2 linked regions of the Arabidopsis thaliana genome follow. The protein of the gene in region 1 interacts with the protein of each later gene in a pairwise test. Each region holds a gene or a part of one and is shown on either strand. Other genes may lie near its edges.

Region 1 (9,122 bases):
AGTATTCGACTGTTATTGGTGAAATTCGAGCTGGTTAATAATATTTATCAAAAATAAGTTTCTATAAATAAATCAAATTAAAAATGTTTCTTATTTTAAGTTTTTTGACCGTTCGCGTGTCATGTTACGACTACCGGCGTCTATGGAGAAATCACCGCAAAATTTATAGAGAGAGTAAAACGAAAGAGAAGAAAAAAAGGAAAACGAAAAAAAAACGTTTCTTTTTCCAGAGAGGTCTTAAGAGAGAGGAGAGAGAAAAGGCATCGCTTTGTATATAAGCTAAAGAAAAGCCAAAAAACAATCTAGAGGTTGGGAGAAGAAGAAGAAGAAAAGAGAAGAAGCTCTTGTTATCCCGGCGTTCTTAAAACAACGACGGCGACGGTGACGGCTAAGCGGAAGAGCTTTTGTTGCCAATGACGGACTCTTACGGCGCCGTCTCCGTCGACGTTGGAACAATCTATCTTGGTGGCAAGGTTTCATTCTTTAACCTTTGAACTCGGATCCGAATAAAGCTTTGATTTTTGTTTCTGGGTTTATCTTAAACTTGCTTAAATCTAATCTTTCTGTTGATTTGGGGAAGAACAGACATGTGGGCATTGTTAGATTCATTTGTTTTTGTAAAAAAAAGACTCATCTTTTGTTTGAATCAAATGTTCTTGGAGAAATTCTTTGCTTGTGGATTTGTGAAACTTCTTTTATTATTATGATTCATTTCCAGATGGGATTATTCTTGGGATCTTCTTCTTCTCTCTATTCAAAGATATCTTCTTCTTATTATTATTTTGTATTCCTTATTCTTTGTCTTATTGCCTTTTGATTTTTTTATCTTATAGAAAAAAGAAAAGAAAATGCCAGCTGTTTTTGTCTACCATTAACCTTTTGTTTAATAAGACTAATGCTTCTTTATTATCTCATTAAGACTCATATTAGCTCATCTTTTTTAAACTGTCATTCCCTTTTTATTAAAAAAAAACCACAATGATTAGAATTAGGCCATTTCTCTTTGGTTGTTGATGATCAAGTTTTTGGTTTTGTTTTTTTGCCCTTAAAAGTAGTAAAGCTGCACATGGAAAAGCTTTAACAGAGATGTTTTCTTTTTTGTGTGTGTGTTAATCAAAGCATTTCTTTTCCACCTAAAGTCAGTTGTCATATTCCTATCTTTAGTATACATTTACTAACGAGAAAATAGATTCATTGTTTACAAACACATGTTTTATGAATATGGAGTAGACAAATGGTATGGTTAAAAGTTTAGTTTTTTTCTGTTGGTTTCATGATCCGTTACTTTTGTTATAACTTGTTGGTTTCTTGTGTTCAGGAGCATCGTGTTAAAACTGCTAGTGGTGTTGTGTCTGTCATTGTCTATGGAGACAGAGAAAAGCCAGCATTGATTACTTATCCTGATTTAGCCCTAAACCGTAAGGCTAAAGAATCTCTATAGGCACTAATGTAATGGCTAAATTTATTAATGTTTTTGTTGTTTCTTCTTCAGATATGTCATGCTTCCAAGGGTTATTCTTCTGTCCTGAAGCAGCTTCATTGCTGCTTCATAACTTCTGCATTTACCATATCAGTCCACCTGGGCATGAGGTCCAATATTTTAGTTTCTCTTTTTTTAACTTGCCGTATGCTTTGCTTGACGTGATTACTTACTCACATGACTTCTCTGTTTTCTTGCAGTTAGGAGCTGCTCCAATTTGTCCTAATGATTCAGTCCCTTCTGCTGAAAACTTGGCAGATCAGATCCTTGAAGTTCTCAACTTTTTCGGGTAACGATGGAATCCCTTATTTTTGGCTTATTGAAGTTCTCAACTTTTGTTTTTCGGGTAACAATGTATAAGCTTTTTGTTCAGCCTTGGTGTTGTGATGTGTATGGGAGTGACTGCAGGTGCTTATATCCTCACCTTATTCGCGGTATGTTCCTATTTATTTTTCTCTTCTCATTGCCCATTGCTTCAGAAGAATACTGTGTTTATCATCTCTTCTATGTTTTAAAACTTTTCAGATGAAACATAGAGAACGGGTTCTTGGTTTGATTCTTGTCTCACCGTTATGCAAGGCGCCGTCTTGGTCTGAATGGTTTTACAACAAGGTTATCACAAACTTGTTATATTATTACGGAATGTGTGGAGTGGTAAAGGAATTTTTGCTTCAGAGATATTTTAGTAAGGTGTGTTCACTGCAGTTACCATTGCTCTCTCTCTGCACTTGTTGCATTTCCAGACTTCTCTTATTTAAACCGGTTGCAACTGCTTGCTACAGGAAGTCCGTGGTAACGTTGAGATTCCAGAGTCAGATATAGCACAAGCTTGCAGAAGAGTCAGTGTTTATCTCTTCTGTTGTTTTTCTGTTTCATCAATAGATTGATTTTACTGTATCAGTGATTCACACCTTGCACTTTTGGTGATTGTCTCAGCTGCTTGATGAAAGACAAGGCATAAACGTTTTGCGATTTCTTGACGCCATTGACCGGTAACACAACAAACACCTCGAAATCCTTTACCTTAGAAGCATTCATTCATTCATGGTGTCAAATATTGACTTTTCTTTAACTTTATGCAAACCAAACCTTTGCTCTTGCAGGAGACCTGACATCTCAAGTGGATTGAAGAAACTAAAATGCAGGACACTTATCTTCATCGGAGATCAATCTCCTTTCTACTCAGAAGCTGTTCACATGGCAGCAACTTTGGATAGAGGATACTGTGCTTTGGTTGAGGTTTGAGAAAACGAATCCTCATCCTTTGTACTTTACATATAAACACATGTTTGGTTTTCTTGCTACTAATAGATGTTTTCTTGGAAATATTATCAGGTTCAGGCTTGTGGTTCAATGGTAACAGAGGAGCAACCACATGCAATGTTGATCCCAATGGAATATTTCTTGATGGGTTACGGATTATACAGACCATCTCTTTTCTCCGAGAGCCCTAGAAGTCCACTTAGCCCTTCTTGTATTTCACCTGAGCTTCTCTCTCCTGAAAGCATGGGATTAAAGCTTAAGCCTATCAAAACCAGAATTTCGGCGGCTTAAGTGTGTGTGCACTACTGATTCATTGGTTCTAATTTTGCTGAGGAGAAGAAATCTTAGGGCTTTTGTAGATATAGAACAATACTAGGGAGATTTGAGAAGAAGAAGACGAAGAAGAAAAATTCAAGCCACCATCATATAACACATTCTTTTGTAGTCAGCCGACACGACAGTTCTCTTGTTAAGATGCCACAAAATGTTGTTTATTATTTCATTTTTTTATACATATGTAAAATGTTCTGTTCTTGTGACATTGTAACAATTGTTTTGTGACGAACTCTGCAGAAGCAAGTAATAAAATTCATTTTGCATTTTGTTTTTGGTTCTCTAATTGGCCTTACAAGCACATTGATTTCACCAAGTTAGAATCTGGTTTTTGCTTAATATTGATATTTAATGGTTTAACAGTCTTGATCCTGAACTATTTGGATCATCAGATTGAAACTTTTTAGTCTGAATTGAATTGTAAATGGAAATGGAGACCAATCCTTCTTTGCAGAAGCCGTAAGTTATATACTGATATAAGATACGCATAAGGATTAGTTGCGGTTGACGAAAACATAGTCCCTCATGAACCGGGGTAAAGGCGAAGAATGCTTCACTTAGTCTGAACAAGTTCAATGCTCCTCGATGTTTGTCAAGCCCGTAAAATGGATGCAGACAAGTGTAAATCCGAGCCAAACCCGAATACAAAGTAGAAGAAGTGTATAAACTCTTGGATAACTAATGATTGAATAATAACATCAAATTAAGGCCATTTCTTGTATTGAACATCGTAAGATGTTTTGTAAATTACAAATACAACAAAGCTCACTTACCTCAGCACCTCTCTATAAGCGAATGGTCAGAAAGTTTTTCACTTTCAAAACCACAGAAACAATTATAACAACAACTTTATATGATGTAATCTGACCATTCCGAGATGAATGAAGTATGATCCATCGATTCTCCAGGACATTCCTCATCATGAATCGTTGGCTTCTCTTTCCCTCCGACAAGTCTCGCCGGATTCCCAACCGCAGTACCTCGACAAGGCACGTCAATCAGCACAACAGAACCAGCTCCTACTTTAGCACCTGCACCAATCTTCACATTTCCAAGAATAGTCGCTCCAGCTCCAATCAAACAACCGTCACCGATCTTCGGATGTCTATCTCCACAAGCTTTACCTGTTCCACCTAGTGTCACATGGTGAAGGATTGAAACATTGTTCCCAATCACCGCTGTTTCTCCGACTACAACTCCGGTTGCGTGGTCTAGAAGTATCCCTTTTCCGATCTTCGCTGCTGGATGGATATCAACAGCGAATACATCGGAGATTCTTGAGTGTAGAGCTAATGCTAATGGCTTCCGTGATTGTGTCCATAGCTTGTGTGATACACGATGCGCCTAATTCAAATTCAACAAAGCCAAATCATGATCCGAAATTCGCATAACTGAAGAATCAACCTAACCTAACCTAAAACAATATTCATAAATCAAATCGCAAGATATAGAAATTGTGGATTCATCAGATCAAATGATGAAGATTTCACCTGAATAGCTAAGAAGCCTTTGTAATTGAGGAGACAATGAGAGAACGAGATACAAGCAGGATCACGAACACGAGCAGCGCGTAGATCTGCGACGGTGGCGTTACGAAGAGAAGGATCGGAGGAAAAAGTGTTTAAGAACAGATCGTATAAAAGTGTGGATAAAAGCGTTGAGGAACAAAGCTTGTTTCCTAGATGAAACGAGATAGATCGTTCAAGAGACGAATGAGAAAGAATCGTCGAATATAGATAGCTAGCTAAAGCTGGCTCCGCCTCAGCATCACGGCGAGCTTCCGCCTTGATCTGTGTCCATAATCCGGCAGCTTCCGCATCTGCAGCTGCCGCAGATATCGCTGCTGACGCTGCTTCTGCTTCATCGGATTGGGTAACGGAAGATAGTTTCTCCTTTGATGGAGATTGATGTCGGAGTTCTCCGGCCGGTGGCATATTAACGCGGCGATAAGATTCGATTTCTATCTCCTCCTACCTATAAAAGTTAATTTTCGAGACGCTCTTTAATCGTGCGGAAATTTTTAAATCCATAGATTAAAGACAATGATAGTCCACCTGGTGCGTGATTAACGTGATTTTTAGAAAATAAAATCGGAGCCGTCAGTTTTATGCTTTATCAATAACCGTTAGATTAGATTTATCTTTCCGTTAATCGACGGTGGTGATTCTGCCGACATTCTTACCAAACTTTTTCCGTAACAAATTTTTGATCAAAAAAAAAAAGAAACTATACAAATTAACTACTAACACTACAAATTTGAAACGTGAATAAGTGGGTTACAATCCAATTAATTTAGGAGAAACAAAAGCCATATCTTTGACCTAGTCGATGTAGGTTTACTCCGGTTAACCAAATGGTCTCATCACTTTGAGTGTTGAAGTGAGGAAAGTATAATTACTCTTCTCTACTTTGATGGTAACAACTTGGTCTCGAATAGAAGGAACTAGCACTTGTGACTTTCTCTTGCTCATAAACTCGGGGTCACCGAGCTTCTGTAACTCAAGATGGCGTCGTTCCCCATTACTGCATGTGTTCCATGCATAATCAAAAGTGCTCAAAAGCATCCCTTCTGTTGCAGCAGCTTCCTACTTAATTAGATCCCATCTGATAAATCACGGTAAAGCAGAGAAACAATCACATGAGTTAGGATCAAAGGTGTATACGTAGCAGACCAACTAGAGAAGATAAGAAGACATGTATTTACTGGTGCCCATCTATAAAAAACTGAGTATCCTTCCGAGAATATGTCCTCATATAAACCCGAGGGCAAATGACCACCGCGTCTTCCATAATCCTGGAGTCTTGATTTTACGTCTACACATTGTCCGACATATACACCAAGAACATTATTATCAGGATCAAAGTTTTGGCCTTGGTCTTGACCGATGACGCCTACACCGAGCTCATACAGACCCGTACAACGTTGAGGGGGTAAGTCCTCATGTCTGTATCTACGGACCCTTTCTTTTCTATTATTGAAATCTTTCCAATCATTGTGTCTTATAAGATTCCGCCATTTGGAGAATGCGATGTCGTGTATAGTCAGCTTGTAGTCTTCTCTCTTGAACATAGTGGGGACGGCGGAACTGAATTCCTTTCCGATCAATCTGGTGATACATTATGACCATTAATTTAAAGCCTGAAGGACCAATAATAGTAAGAAAAAAAACAGAGGATAAAAATGCAACAACATTGTGAATAGATGAGATGATAAGAGACCTATTGTTCAAGAGCTGACTTATCCCCGGCATAATGGTTGTGCTTTTTTGCGTGCTAATGATTGTGTGTCGTATATGGTTAAACTTCAACTTCGCCATCTTCGATAATAGAACAAACGACATTGTCAAACAAAATAAAACAGAACAAAACGGTTCTGCTACAGAAAAATAATGAAAGAAGGCAGCTCTGATATATTACGATCGTAGATATATGGAAGAAGCGAAGGGAAGTTGAAAAAGAAATGGGTCGTTTACAGTTTTTCGCATCATGGACAAGTAACAAAGTGGAGGCATGGCGGGAAACGGGTCTATGTATTTTTAAATCTAAAAACATCTAATGTAATGCAAAGATGCAAGTCAACGATGTTAATCAAAACTGATTTTAAATTTATAAAAAATGAGATTGTGAGTCATCCAGTACAGATGATTGTTCAGCAAACCAATACCGAAACCAAAACGGTTTTGGTACAAACAATTCTGGTTAGGTAACAAATAACATAAACAAGTGATGCAGAGGTTAGGTGATTCTCATTCCCTTATGCTCTTCACATCTCTTACGTCCTTTTACCGGAGATCTCTCACAGATCAATCCATTGCCTAATTTAACTCCACAAGCTACGTTTTTTGCTGCCTCTGGCTGAAAATATACCGGCGAAGTATCGCTGGAAGTTTTCTCCTTATGTTGCCAACACCTTTTGCTTCCTTTAGGAGAACTTCTTGTGCAAGGTAACCCATTCTTTGTTGTAGCTTCACAGAAGCGAGTCAAAGCTTCTTCTTCGATTGACTCGGTATGCGATTCGGGATCAGGTTTCTCGTCTTTGACGGTTTTCTCACGGTCAGTTTGGTTAAGAAGAAAAAGAAAAGCATTGATCCTCATGCCTTTATGATCCTCACATCGTTTTCTTCCAGGAACAGGTCTCTTATTGCAAGGTTCCATGTCAGGTAAGATCACTCCACACACAACATCAGAGTCTTTATGATTGTGATGATCTTGTCCAGTGAAAATCTCGGACTTTGGCGGTGTCTGTTTTTCGGGTGAAACACGGCAAACTCTCTGTCCTTTATGCTCTATGCATCTCTTTCTCCCTTTGACTGGACTTCTAATGCAACAGCCACCATCTTCAAGTAAGACTCCACAAACAATATCAGAACAAGAACCATCAACCTCATCAAATCTGTCTGAAACCGGTTGAGGTCTAGACCGGGTGAGTTTGAGTATTGAAGTGAGGAAATTATTACTCTTCTCTTCATCAACATCACAGGTTAGCTTCCTCTCTTCTTTAAGCACATGCTTCTCTCCTTTTATTCTGATACCAACTTGGTTCCGAAGAAAAGGAAACAGCATTCGAGATATACCGGACTTTCTCTTGCTCATAAACTCGCGATCACCGAGCTTCTTAAGCAAATCAAGCTGCCTTCGCTCCCCGTTACTTCCTTTGTTCCAAGCATAGTCAAATGTGCTCAAGAGCATCCCTTCTGTTGCCTCAGCTTCTCTCTTAGATCCCATCTGATACAATCACATGAGTTAGATCAAAGTTGTATACTTAGCAAACCAATATAGAAGAAAAGAAGAAATGTATTTACTAACCGGAGCCCATCTGTATAAAATCGAGCCTCCTTTCGAAAATATGTCTTCAAATAAACCTCCAGTAACAGCCTTAACTGGAGATTCAATAGTTTCACAGTCGTTAAGGTTGTTAACATTGCGCAAATGAGCACCGGATCTTCCATAACGCTGAAGTCTAGACCTAACACTTTCAGCTTGTCCTAGATATGAAGCAAGAACAATATCTGGTTCAAGCTTTCGACATTGTTCTTGACCGATGACCGCTACACCGAGCTCATACAGACCCGGACAAGATTTACGAGGTAAGTTCTGGACTCTGTATCTACCTACACCATCTTTTCCGTTTTTGAAATCTTCCCAATCGTTGGATCCTATAAGTACCTGTGCAGCATCAAACTTTACACAATCAGATAAAACTAAGATCTAAAACCAACCACTTCAAGTAGCAAATGAAACAGAATTAGGCTAATTAGATATACATATAGTTAGCGACCAATTCTAACAGAAATCCAGAGAAAATGCATTTGGGACAAAGCAGACACACTAGGCATTCAAAATGGGATCTTTACACTGAAATCCTGGAAATGGAAGATCAGATTTTTCGATTCAACTGAAAATCTGAGAATTCCGAAATGGGTTTCAGAGAAAACACAAGATCGAGCGAAAATTCTCAATCTACAAATCGAGAAAGAGAAAGACAGAGGACCTGCCACTTGGAGAAGACGGTGTCGTGTTTAGTTCGTTTGTAGTCTTCTCTTTTGAAGACAGTGGGGACGACGGCGAAGGAAACGCCGTCGCCGAATTCCATTTCGATAAAACCGATGATATAGTGTGACCGTTAAATTAAAGCGGACTTGGTCTTTTTTCTCAGTGCTCGTTAATTTAGAGACACCACCGTTAAAAATGAGAAAAGTTTTTCTCCCCTCCAAAAATGGATGTTTATCCTTCCAAAATGGATGATTTTTGTTTTATTCTGTCCGAAGGAAAAGTTTCAAGTTACCGTTGGAACGGTGAAGCTTCTTCTGTACGGTTTATTAGTTACCGTTGGATTTTTTTTTTTTAATCTACATTAGTCAATGTTGACAACCGTAATTAGCATAAGGGAGGGAATCTACATTCTTTAATGAGAATACTTAACTTTTCAATTGGTCAAATTTTCTTCTATCTTTGGGATTTTTTTATTACACTTTTACTTGATTTGGCAAATGTTATTACCAAATATATTGATGAGAACCAGAAATTGGTCATGTGATATTCGTTT
Region 2 (11,047 bases), on another chromosome or scaffold:
TGCTAGGAGATGTAGCAGCTTTTACAGATGAGCCCGCAGAGGCTGTTGATTTGAGCAGCCGGGCTTCTCCTTTTGCTGCAGGACTGTCTTTAGCAAACAGGATCAAGCTATATTACTATGCGGATCCTTACGAAGTAGGCAAATGGACTAGCCTTTCAAGTGTCTGATTTTACACTTTCACTGGCCGTAGCTTGGTTCGATCCACACACTTTGTGGTCAGAGATTTTGTTTTTGCTTTATTCCTTTCCTCTAAAAATTAGTGTGCTGTGTTTGTTTGGTGGTGGAAGTATTAATCACCGTGTAATTTGTATTTGCACGGCAAAGATTAAAAAATATGTTATACTAGATGGAGTGATTTTGATGTTCTTAACGTTTGGTGTACGTAAAGTTGTTAATTACCACAATTCTTGTAGCTAGCCATCAATATAGCCATCAAAAGGACACCACATATCCGTGTGTCTAAGTCTAATTGCTCCAAAAACATTTTTTGTCTTAGCCACATATAACCACAAAATGACTTTACAAAAAATAAAATGTACCAGAAATTGGCCACAATATATAACAGTGGCTAGGTCAGAAAATATATTCAAAAAAAAATTATTGCATAATTATATTTGTTAATAATCTATAAACCATAAGCGAATAATACTATACATAATCATTAAAATCATAGAGTTTTAAAATCCAAAATACATGTTTAAAGATGTATAATGTATGATGAACATTTGTCTTAAGTAAGAGTGTAATCATAATTATGGTGAGACTAGTTAAGATGTAAACATTTTCAAATGGGGTTAAGCCTTAACCCCGTTATTGTTAATAAAATAAATGATAAGCGCAAAAAGATTCATAATTATTGACCAATTTGAATGGGTTGGGCCGATATGGAGAAAGCCCAACAGTAAGTATACGACTTTACACGTGTCTTGTTGGTTCAGTGTGAGTTAGCCGTTGAAGATACAGAACGGTAACTTATGACGTCATGGCTGACTTATATTCAGACATGACAAAGTAGCCGTTGATGCTTTTCCCAACGGGCGAGAAAACTTGTCTATATATAAACACACACACACACGAGCGTTTAGTACAATTTAGTAATCTAATGTTCTAGAAATGTAAAATTCCTCTCCTGTCGTCTTCTACAATAAAATCCGAAGTGTCGTTATCTACAAGAAGAGTCCAAAGTGTCTTCATCCAATCGTTGGTGAGTCGCTTTAATTCTTTATTTGATCTTTTCTGATTATTTTCAGTCTTTTTTACACATGTGACTGCAAAACGGATGCCTTTTTTAATTTATTTCTTCTTTCAGCTTTCCTCACTGTTTGTTTGTCCTCTCTCTTTAATTCAAAAATAAATCAGGCTTTTAAAATCACGATTGTGTCCATATCTGAACATGGCTTTTTTCTCTGTGTTTTAGCTTTCTAGCTGCATTTTTAGGTTTTATTTACACGGATTACTTCCTCCTGTTTTGGGAATTTTGCTATGTTTGACTTTGCTATGCTCTGTTTGACTTTGCTATACTTGTTGACTTTGATTTTAATATCTCTGCTACACTTGTTATAAAAAAGGGACTGATGAACATTTGGATTTCGAAGTTGAATTGATTATTCTTTGATGATGTAATATTTATTATTAATCCAAAAATTTAGTAATAAGATTCTTTTGTTTTTTTGTATGGGAAGATGACTTCAGAAAAAGCTTGCTTCAAGCCCAACAACTACGGTCCACGGATATGACTACTTAGAGCAAGTTCCAGCCTCACACATGAATTGCGATCTTCTCAAAGGTTAGTTTTTTTCAATGCCTTCTTTTTTTTTTTTTGATAATTTTTTTAAAGTGTATGATAGATTGATAATGACATTTGTTTGAATATTAAAAAAAAAAAAACTTGCTTGTAAAAAACACATGTAGCCAAACGTCACTTTAAAGGTAAAAAATAAACACTTTAATGAAATCCCAGCCGAAACACTTAGTCTAATTTAGTCGAAGCACCTAGTAAGAAAAACGTAGCGCATTTTAAGTTGAATTAAATTTTAGCAACTCTAGTCGTTGTATTACTCTAAGTATTAGTCGAACCACGTTATTTAGCAACAACACGTAGGAATTGTTGCTTTAGTTAAATTACTTAGTCGAAGTAGTTTATCAAATTCAGTCTAAAAAGTACATTATAGACCAAAAAAAAAAAAAAAAAATAGCCCACTTTTAGTTGAAATCATACTAAATAGCAACACTTTTAGAAGAGATAAACACATTAGTCGGAACACCTGTAACGAACTTAGTTACAAAAGACTGTGCACACTCAAACAAGTTAGCACCTAGTCGCAACACTTAGTTGAGATACGAACCTAAATATCTCTAATCAATCGTTTGTAAACCACATTTTAGTTTAGCCAAAAACAGTCGAATACTCAAACATTATATCACTTTTTAGTTTCGTCAAATCATATTGAATAGTCGAAAAATAAACGAAATGCGTTCTCGGGTAATAAGTATTCTAGAGCAAAAATGTGATTAAAAACAATATGAGTAAAATGCATTCATGAATTATGAAGTTGCAAATTTCAACCAGCTGATGCCGACGTGTTGGATTTCAGGAAGTTGTTGGATATCAAAGACCCTTGGAGATCTTAGGGTTTAGGCTTCTAGAGGCTTTAAGCATTGTACAATTTGTAAACTTCAAAGCATTAGTCGGGGTTGTTCTTAGTCGAGTTGAATAATTAGGCTTAATTATTCTTAATTGTTCTTAGTGTTAGTTCTTTTTGTCTTCACGGGCGGCTGATAAGAAATAGAGGACAATTAGGCTTAATTATTCATTCAGGTAGAAAATGTCGGGGTTGTTCATTCAGGGGTTGTTCATTAAACTTAATTCTCCTTAGTCGGGGTTGTTCATTCAGGTAGAATATGTCAAGTAAGTTCCGAGATAATACTTGTTAAAGAGTTTATTATCAATAAAAATAAAGTTTAAGCACTTGTTGTTTGCAAGTGAATTCTCTGTGTTGTTTTTGTCTCTATACCTTTTAAATTATATTTTTATTGAATATATAGAGTAAATGTAAAATGGTAAGACTTTTGGTATATAGTTTTTTAAGTGAATTTGACGCATAAATTTCATGAAACTCTTACATAATATATATATCAAAATTGTATAACAAAATTTTTGTATTTTACAGACATTACTTAAAATTGCATAACTACAAACGAAAAACAACCAATTTTCTCAGACTTTTACAGTTTGTACTTCGAATGGTTAAGAAATCAGATTCTATTGATGTGGTTACTCGTTACCCAATAAAATAGTAATTGATCATAATTTAATGTTCTATTGATGTAGAAGTCTTAGAAGATACTTACTAATGGACGAAAATATCGAGAAAGAAAAAAAAAAAGGTACAACAACGGCATATTTCCGTGAGAATAATGCGCGTGGAACGATTAATGTGGCTATTCATTGCTTAACGGCCTTTTTAGTGTCGGCTCTAAGGCCCATTTTTGTCTTTGTGCAAATTTAACGGTGAATGTGTTTGTTCAGGTGTTTTACATTTTTTTTTTTTGAGTGTTGGAACGCTTTTGTTAGAGTTTATGTAGCTCGGATTAAGACAACCCTAATTGGCTAATTGCTACCGCCTACCATTGTTTGACTCAGTTATACGGGCTTAAGATGAGCTGATTCCTTATCGAACAAACCAAAACCAAATAATGTCAAATTTAAGAAGAAGAATCTTTTCAAGTTACATTTTCTCAGAAGCTTTTGGTTCCTTTGTTACTGACTATTTCCTTGTTGACCAAACCAAAACCAAACAATGTCAAATTCAAGAACAAGAATATCTAACGGCAACGGATCCAAGACGATGAATTTGACATTAAAAAAAAAAAAGTTAACCAGAAAGATTCATGCAACACTTGAGAGGTATGAAGGTACGAATAAGAACACATTCTCCACGTTCGCTTTTGGTCAGTGCACTTCACTTGGTTGGTGATTAAAAAAAAAATGTATAAAATATAAAAATGAAACTTAATATAAAGTTGAAAGCTTGGTCTAAAAATGGACCGTATCTGAAAATCCAATCGACGTCGTATTCCAAGAAAATAGAAAAGTAGGATCATGGTGGCGATGATCATGGCTTCAAGGTTTAACCGGGAAGCTAAGCTCGCATCTCAAATCTTGTCTACACTTTTGGGAAACCGAAGCTGCTACACATCCATGGCCGCCACATCTTCCTCTGCTTTACTTCTTAATCCGTTGACTTCTTCTTCTTCTTCTTCTACTCTCCGTCGTTTCAGATGCTCGCCAGAGATCTCTTCTCTCTCCTTCTCCTCCGCTTCTGATTTCTCTCTAGCGATGAAGAGGCAGAGTCGGAGTTTTGCTGATGGTTCGGAACGAGATCCGTCTGTTGTGTGTGAGGCTGTTAAGCGCGAGACTGGACCTGATGGACTCAACATCGCTGACAATGTGTCTCAGGTTAGATTTGAAATTGAAATTGGTGATCAAATTTTTGAGCTTTCCTCTAATGGGAATGTTGGCGAAAGTGTGATTGTCCATTAAAATTTGAAACTTGATTAGCTTTTTAAATAGTTCAGAATTTACTTACGTATCTCTCATTGTTCTTGGCTTGATTCAGCTCATTGGGAAAACTCCTATGGTGTACTTGAACAGTATAGCAAAAGGTTGTGTAGCAAATATTGCTGCCAAACTCGAGATCATGGAGCCATGTTGCAGTGTCAAGGATAGGTCTGTAGCTTAAGTCTTTTGTGGCTTGTTTGTATGTTTTTAGTTGAGTCCCTTCAAGTCCTAACTTTTATGTTTCACGGATTCAGGATTGGGTACAGTATGGTTACTGATGCTGAGCAAAAAGGATTTATATCACCTGGAAAGGTATCGATTATAGATTGATCAGTCTTTTGTAAAGTTTAATGGATGAGACCAGCTTTTACACACATAAAGTTGTACAATCTATAGTCTGTTATTTCTGGTGGTTAATCATGTCCTTACTGCATTGATCTAGAGTGTTCTTGTGGAACCTACAAGTGGAAACACGGGTATTGGCCTAGCATTCATCGCTGCTTCAAGGGGCTATAGACTTATCTTGACAATGCCAGCATCCATGAGTATGGAAAGAAGGGTTCTTTTAAAGGCATTTGGAGCTGAGCTTGTATTAACAGATCCTGCTAAAGGCATGACTGGAGCGGTTCAGAAGGCTGAAGAGATCTTGAAAAACACTCCTGATGCATACATGCTCCAACAGTTTGACAACCCTGCAAATCCAAAGGTTTGTGGTTTATATTTTTCCTTATTTGTGTCATGATTTGGTTTTTGCTCTAGTCATGTACCATAAGAAGAGAAATGAAATGTTAAGTTAGAGTTAACCAGAAACTCATCTGTATTTAGAGAATGCCCACAAGTGTGTAACTGAAGTGGTTTTCACTTAAACTGTACAAGCAAATTGGGAAGTGGCTGATCCTTTGAAATCGGCATGATCTTCTGTGAGGTTCTCTTGTCACGTTTGTAAACTCAAGTTTGAATATACGCAGATTCATTACGAGACTACTGGTCCTGAGATCTGGGATGATACAAAGGGCAAGGTGGATATCTTTGTTGCAGGAATTGGAACTGGTGGAACTATCACTGGTGTTGGTCGATTTATTAAAGAGAAAAATCCCAAAACGCAGGTAGATGCAAAAGTTCAATGGTTTCATTCTTAGCTGGAGTACATTTTCAGGTGTTATTTAGACAGTATTGTATGTTCATTCAAGCAATATAATTCGTAGTTAACTATTCGATGTTTACATGTACCAGGTTATTGGTGTAGAACCCACCGAAAGCGATATACTTTCTGGTGGCAAACCGGGTAAGGCTTGCCAATAGATATCAATCAGTAATTTTGTTTCCATGATTTCGAAATATGATCTTATATTCACGTATTTTGCTTTCTCTTGCATTTATACAGGACCTCACAAGATTCAAGGAATTGGAGCTGGATTTATACCTAAGAATTTGGATCAGAAAATTATGGATGAAGTCATAGCGGTATGATTTATTTTGTTGGATTCTGTATGGTTATACAATTTATCTGGTTTCCACAAAACATCCACAATTCTTGTGTCAATTTATTGCTTAAATTTTCCAATTCCTGAGACTCAAACTTCATCAATTACTATCTTCTTTTTGCGTTTACCAGATTTCAAGTGAGGAAGCTATAGAAACCGCAAAGCAACTAGCTCTTAAGGAAGGCTTGATGGTTAGTTCTTTGCAGTATTTATGATTTCTGAGTGGGAACCACACGGATGTTGTGGTGTCATGTTGCATGTGAAAGGTGGAAATTACACAAGATTCTTACGTGAATGTAATAATCTTGTCAGGTTGGTATATCATCTGGAGCTGCAGCTGCTGCTGCAATCAAGGTGGCTAAGAGACCTGAGAATGCTGGAAAACTCATAGCTGTAAGTCTTTTCGGTTTCAGTTATGTGTTATGTCTTGAAAACAAAAAGGTGGTGCAAGGGGTCTTTGTGCAACATATAGATGGATTGCTTTAGATTTCATCTTAAGATAGATTTGAGGATTATTAAAGTCTCCCGAGTCTGTGATCCAATACTAAACCAAAGAATCAACAATATAGTCACTTGGCTAGTTAGATTGTTAAATCTTCTAAGTAGGTAACTGTTAATGAATCTATGAATGCGGTTTTTCAGGTTGTTTTCCCGAGCTTCGGGGAGAGATATCTATCGACCCCGCTGTTCCAGTCTATCCGGGAAGAGGTGGAGAAAATGCAGCCTGAGGTATGAACATTAGCAACTTGGTCTACTTCTGCAAAGCTCTTTCTCCCATAATTACAGTCTGAGTGCTAAGCAATTTATTTTTATCAATAAGGCATTAGTGAATGTGGTTTGAGTTCTATTTTGGATATCCAACACTAGTCTATGTTTTACTCAACATTTTCTGTTGGAAATCCCAATGCTTAATTATATTGAATTGAACAAGATGATTGATCCCTTGTTTGTTTTTCTTGTTAACCTAAAAAATATTAACTTTCATGAGTATTTTCATATATAATGATCAACGATGATAGGTTAGTGATATAACTTTACTTTTTCATGTAGACCAATAGAAAAAAATAAAATCAGAATCTAACTCTAAAACATGTCAAAAACTTATTTTTAATACAAATTTTGTGGTCAAAACTTTGGATGTGAAACTTACTTTGTTCGATTATTGCTTTTAAAGTACTTTTTGATGTTTTCCAGTTTTCACACAGTTTTAAGATCATAGAAAAATCCCGTCTTTTTGAAATTTTGATCCATATATTTTCTAATGCTCAGAGAGTCAGCGGTTAATATTAGGATTAGGACACGCTCTACCAATCCCACGATAATTGCTTTGAATCCAATGAAGATTGGAAGATTATTATCTTAATTGCTTTACGACTTGGTTTAGGCCCCATGTGTGTGTAAATACATAAATTTTTAATATGAACAACGCGGAAATCCATGTGAACGTTCGTTTCCATTTTGTTCGACCCTACTTTTGCAGTTTGGAATTCTTTTATACTCTTACTTAACTCTCAATGAGATGATAAAAATATCTCATATGATCAATTTCTTCCCATAAGCAAAAACAAAAAAAATCCTAACATGCCTAGTGAACTCAAAGTCTTGCATATAGTTCTTGTTCTGCTCTATACTCTGTCTTCATCTACTTACAACTCCAATGGAAACTGGACCCTGGAGGGCTCTGCAGCTGACAACTCCATTGGTGACACCATTTTAACGAACACCAAGAAGCATTCCTGCGGTCAAACTTTCAACAACGAATCCATTCCCATAAAAGATTCGTCTTTCAGCTTCCACTTCCTCTTTGGAATAGTACCTGAGCATACACAGTCCGGTTCACATGGCATGTCTTTCGTTATCTCTCCTACAGCAGGCCTTCCAGGAGCTTCCTCCGATCAGTACCTCGGATTATTCAATGAAACAACCAACGGTAAATCATCAAACCACGTTATAGCTATCGAGTTAGATATACAAAAAGACCAAGAGTTCGGAGATATTGATGATAATCATGTTGCAATGGTTTGACATCTGTTGTTTCTGCTTCTGCTGGTTACTATGATGATAAAGATGGAATCTTCAGAAATCTTTCTTTGATCAGCGGAAAGGTAATGCGGCTTTCTATCGTTTATAGTCATCCTGATCAACAGCTCAATGTTACTTTATTCCCGGCTGAGATCCCTGTTCCGCCACGGAAACCACTGCTGTCTTTGAATCGAGATCTCTCCCCGTATTTTTTGGAGGAGATGTATTATGGCTACACGGCATCGACTGGATCCATTGGAGCATTTCATTATATGTTGAGTTCGTACGCTACTCCAAAAGTTGAGAATCCAACATGGGAGTTCATCGTAGTCCCAACCCTTCCTCCATATCCGAAGAAATCGTCTGACAGAACAAAGAAGATTTTAGCGGTCTGCTTAACGCTTGCTGTGTTCGCTGTGTTTGTCGCCTCGGGAATCTGTTTTGTCTTCTATACGAGGCATAAGAAGGTTAAGGAGGTTCTTGAGGAATGGGAGATTCAATATGGACCTCATAGGTTTGCCTATAAGGAGCTTCTCAATGCCACAAAGGATTTCAAGGAGAAACAACTTCTTGGAAAAGGAGGCTTTGGTCAAGTCTTTAAAGGAACGCTCCCGGGTTCCAATGCAGAGATCGCTGTAAAACGGACTTCTCATGATTCAAGACAAGGCATGAGCGAGTTTCTAGCCGAGATATCGACCATTGGTCGTCTCAGGCATCCAAATCTAGTCAGGCTTCTGGGATATTGTAGGCATAAGGAGAATCTCTACTTGGTTTATGACTTTACGCCCAATGGAAGCCTTGACAAGTATCTAGACCGTAATGAGAATCAAGAACGGCTCACTTGGGAACAACGTTTCAAGATCATCAAAGATGTTGCATCTGCTCTACTACACCTGCATCAAGAATGGGTACAAATCATCATTCATAGAGATATCAAACCAGCTAATGTCCTAATCGACCACGAAATGAATGCAAGGATCGGGGATTTCGGATTGGCAAAGCTGTATGATCAGGGACTTGACCCTCAGACATCTAGAGTAGCGGGAACATTTGGTTATATCGCACCTGAGCTCCTAAGAACAGGAAGAGCGACCACAAGCACTGATGTTTATGCCTTTGGGTTGGTAATGCTTGAAGTTGTTTGTGGTAGAAGAATGATTGAGCGACGTGCACCGGAAAATGAAGAAGTTCTTGTGGATTGGATCTTAGAGCTTTGGGAAAGTGGGAAACTTTTCGATGCAGCTGAGGAAAGTATCCGTCAAGAACAAAACAGGGGAGAAATCGAGCTTCTTTTGAAGCTAGGTCTGTTGTGTGCACATCACACTGAACTGATTAGACCGAACATGAGTGCGGTTATGCAGATCTTGAATGGCGTTTCGCAGCTTCCAGATAATCTTCTTGATGTCGTAAGAGCTGAGAACTTGAGAGGAATGCCTGAAACATCAATCGAAGTACTACTTGGTCTTAATCTGTATTCAGTTGGTACAATGACATTAACAAATTCTTTCTTGTCCCATGGACGCTGAAACCGTTAAAGAAGTTAGTTTGAATGAACAGTTACATTCAAGCTTTTGTATCGTCTATTTGATGAATCACTACATTAGGGTTTCTTTATCTTGAATCAGTAAAGCCTTCCGTTTCATCCCCAAGTTCTTATATCTTAAATTTTTAGGACTCAACATATAATATGTTTTGTATTTTCTGCTTTCAAAGTTTTCTTGTTGGATTTGTTTAAGAAACCGAACTTTCAAGAGCAATGGCGTCAAAACAAAATGGCGTGAATTGCCAAATCAGTGACATATAACCAAAAACATTCTAAACTACTTTGATGTTGTTACACTACATAGGATTAATCTCAATATATAATGATCAAACCATGACAAATTAGTGACATATAACTTCACTTTTGCCTTCAGACCAGTAGAGAATTTGTTAGAATCTACACTAAATTAAAAATGTTAAACATACGTTGTTTTTTCTACAAAATGGTTGTGGAAAAATAGCTTTGTTGGATTGCTGCTTTTTAATTATGCTTTTCACACTGTTGTTATTAGTAATTTAATACTTCAAAGTATTAAGATCGTAGAAAAGTTCTGTCTTTTGACGACACGCTCTACCAGTCCCACTATAATTGCTTTACGACTTGATCTAGCTCATGTGCTTAAATACATATGTTTTTTTATTACTAACGAAGAATAACAAAAATAAAAAGAAAAAAAGAACGTTGGGTTCCCATTATTTTCGACCGTAATTCTTATGAGATGATAAATATTACATTAAGATCATAACCTTCCCATAAGCCAAAAAATAACAAACAAGAACATGTCTCATAAAGTCTTACAAATAGTTCTCGTTCTGTTGCTTACTCTGTTTTCATCTACTCACAACTCCAATGGCAACTTCCTCATGGAAGAAGCTGCAGCTGCAGGTTTAAACGGTTATTGCCTTTTAACAAACACCACGAAGCATTCCTACGGTCAAGCTTTCAACAACACTCCCGTTCCCATCAAGAACTCATCTTTCTCATTCAACATCATCTTCGGGATCGTCCCTGAACATAAGCAGCAAGGTTCACACGGTATGGCTTTCGTTTTCTCTCCTACAAGAGGCCTTCCCGGAGCTTCCCCCGATCAATACCTGGGAATCTTTAACGAGACAAACAACGGTAAAGCCTCGAATAACGTTATAGCTATCGAGTTAGATATACGAAAAGACGAAGAGTTTGGAGATATTGATGATAATCATGTTGGGATTAACATTAATGGTTTGACATCTGTTGCCTCTGCTTCTGCTGGTTACTATGATGATGAAGATGGAAACTTCAAAAAGCTTTCTTTGATCAGCACAAAGGTAATGAGGCTTTCCATCGTTTATAGTCACACCGATAAACAGCTCAATGTTACTTTATTACCTGCTGAAATCTCTGTTCCGCCACAAAAATCGCTCTTGTCTTTGAACCGAGATCTCTCGCCCTATTTTT

What was found.
Region 2: the proteins of SERAT1;1 (region 1) and OASC interact in a two-hybrid assay, tested with the Arabidopsis thaliana proteins (one study listed by BioGRID).

The regions. Positions count from the first base shown.
Region 1 is NC_003076.8:22,957,573-22,966,694, forward strand, and holds SERAT1;1 (serine acetyltransferase 1;1), read right to left. Parts: upstream 5,142-9,122; 5' UTR 5,011-5,141; coding exon 4,567-5,010; intron 4,421-4,566; coding exon 3,926-4,420; 3' UTR 3,657-3,925; downstream 1-3,656. Other genes in the region: NDL1 (N-MYC downregulated-like 1), read left to right, coding at 414-473, 1,319-1,418, 1,493-1,590, 1,681-1,769, 1,854-1,914, 2,006-2,170, 2,263-2,319, 2,417-2,472 and 2 more; AT5G56770 (transcription repressor-like protein), read right to left, coding at 5,422-5,661, 5,781-6,183, 6,296-6,417; ET2 (effector of transcription2), read right to left, coding at 6,812-7,801, 7,883-8,242, 8,568-8,669.
Region 2 is NC_003074.8:22,068,401-22,079,447, reverse strand, and holds OASC (O-acetylserine (thiol) lyase), read left to right. Parts: upstream 1-4,031; 5' UTR 4,032-4,102; coding exon 4,103-4,459; intron 4,460-4,619; coding exon 4,620-4,729; intron 4,730-4,815; coding exon 4,816-4,873; intron 4,874-5,003; coding exon 5,004-5,267; intron 5,268-5,529; coding exon 5,530-5,667; intron 5,668-5,794; coding exon 5,795-5,846; intron 5,847-5,945; coding exon 5,946-6,025; intron 6,026-6,176; coding exon 6,177-6,236; intron 6,237-6,357; coding exon 6,358-6,438; coding exon of another isoform or gene 6,439-6,451; intron 6,452-6,687; coding exon 6,688-6,774; coding exon of another isoform or gene 6,775-6,787; exon of another isoform or gene 6,788-7,184; intron 7,185-7,314; coding exon 7,315-7,329; 3' UTR 7,330-7,500; downstream 7,501-11,047. Other genes in the region: SAC9 (sacI homology domain-containing protein / WW domain-containing protein), read left to right, coding at 1-167; AT3G59750 (Concanavalin A-like lectin protein kinase family protein), read left to right, coding at 7,627-8,064, 8,151-9,593; AT3G59740 (Concanavalin A-like lectin protein kinase family protein), read left to right, coding at 10,390-11,047. UniProt on the Arabidopsis thaliana protein: Acts as a cysteine synthase. Plays a role in the sulfide detoxification in mitochondria.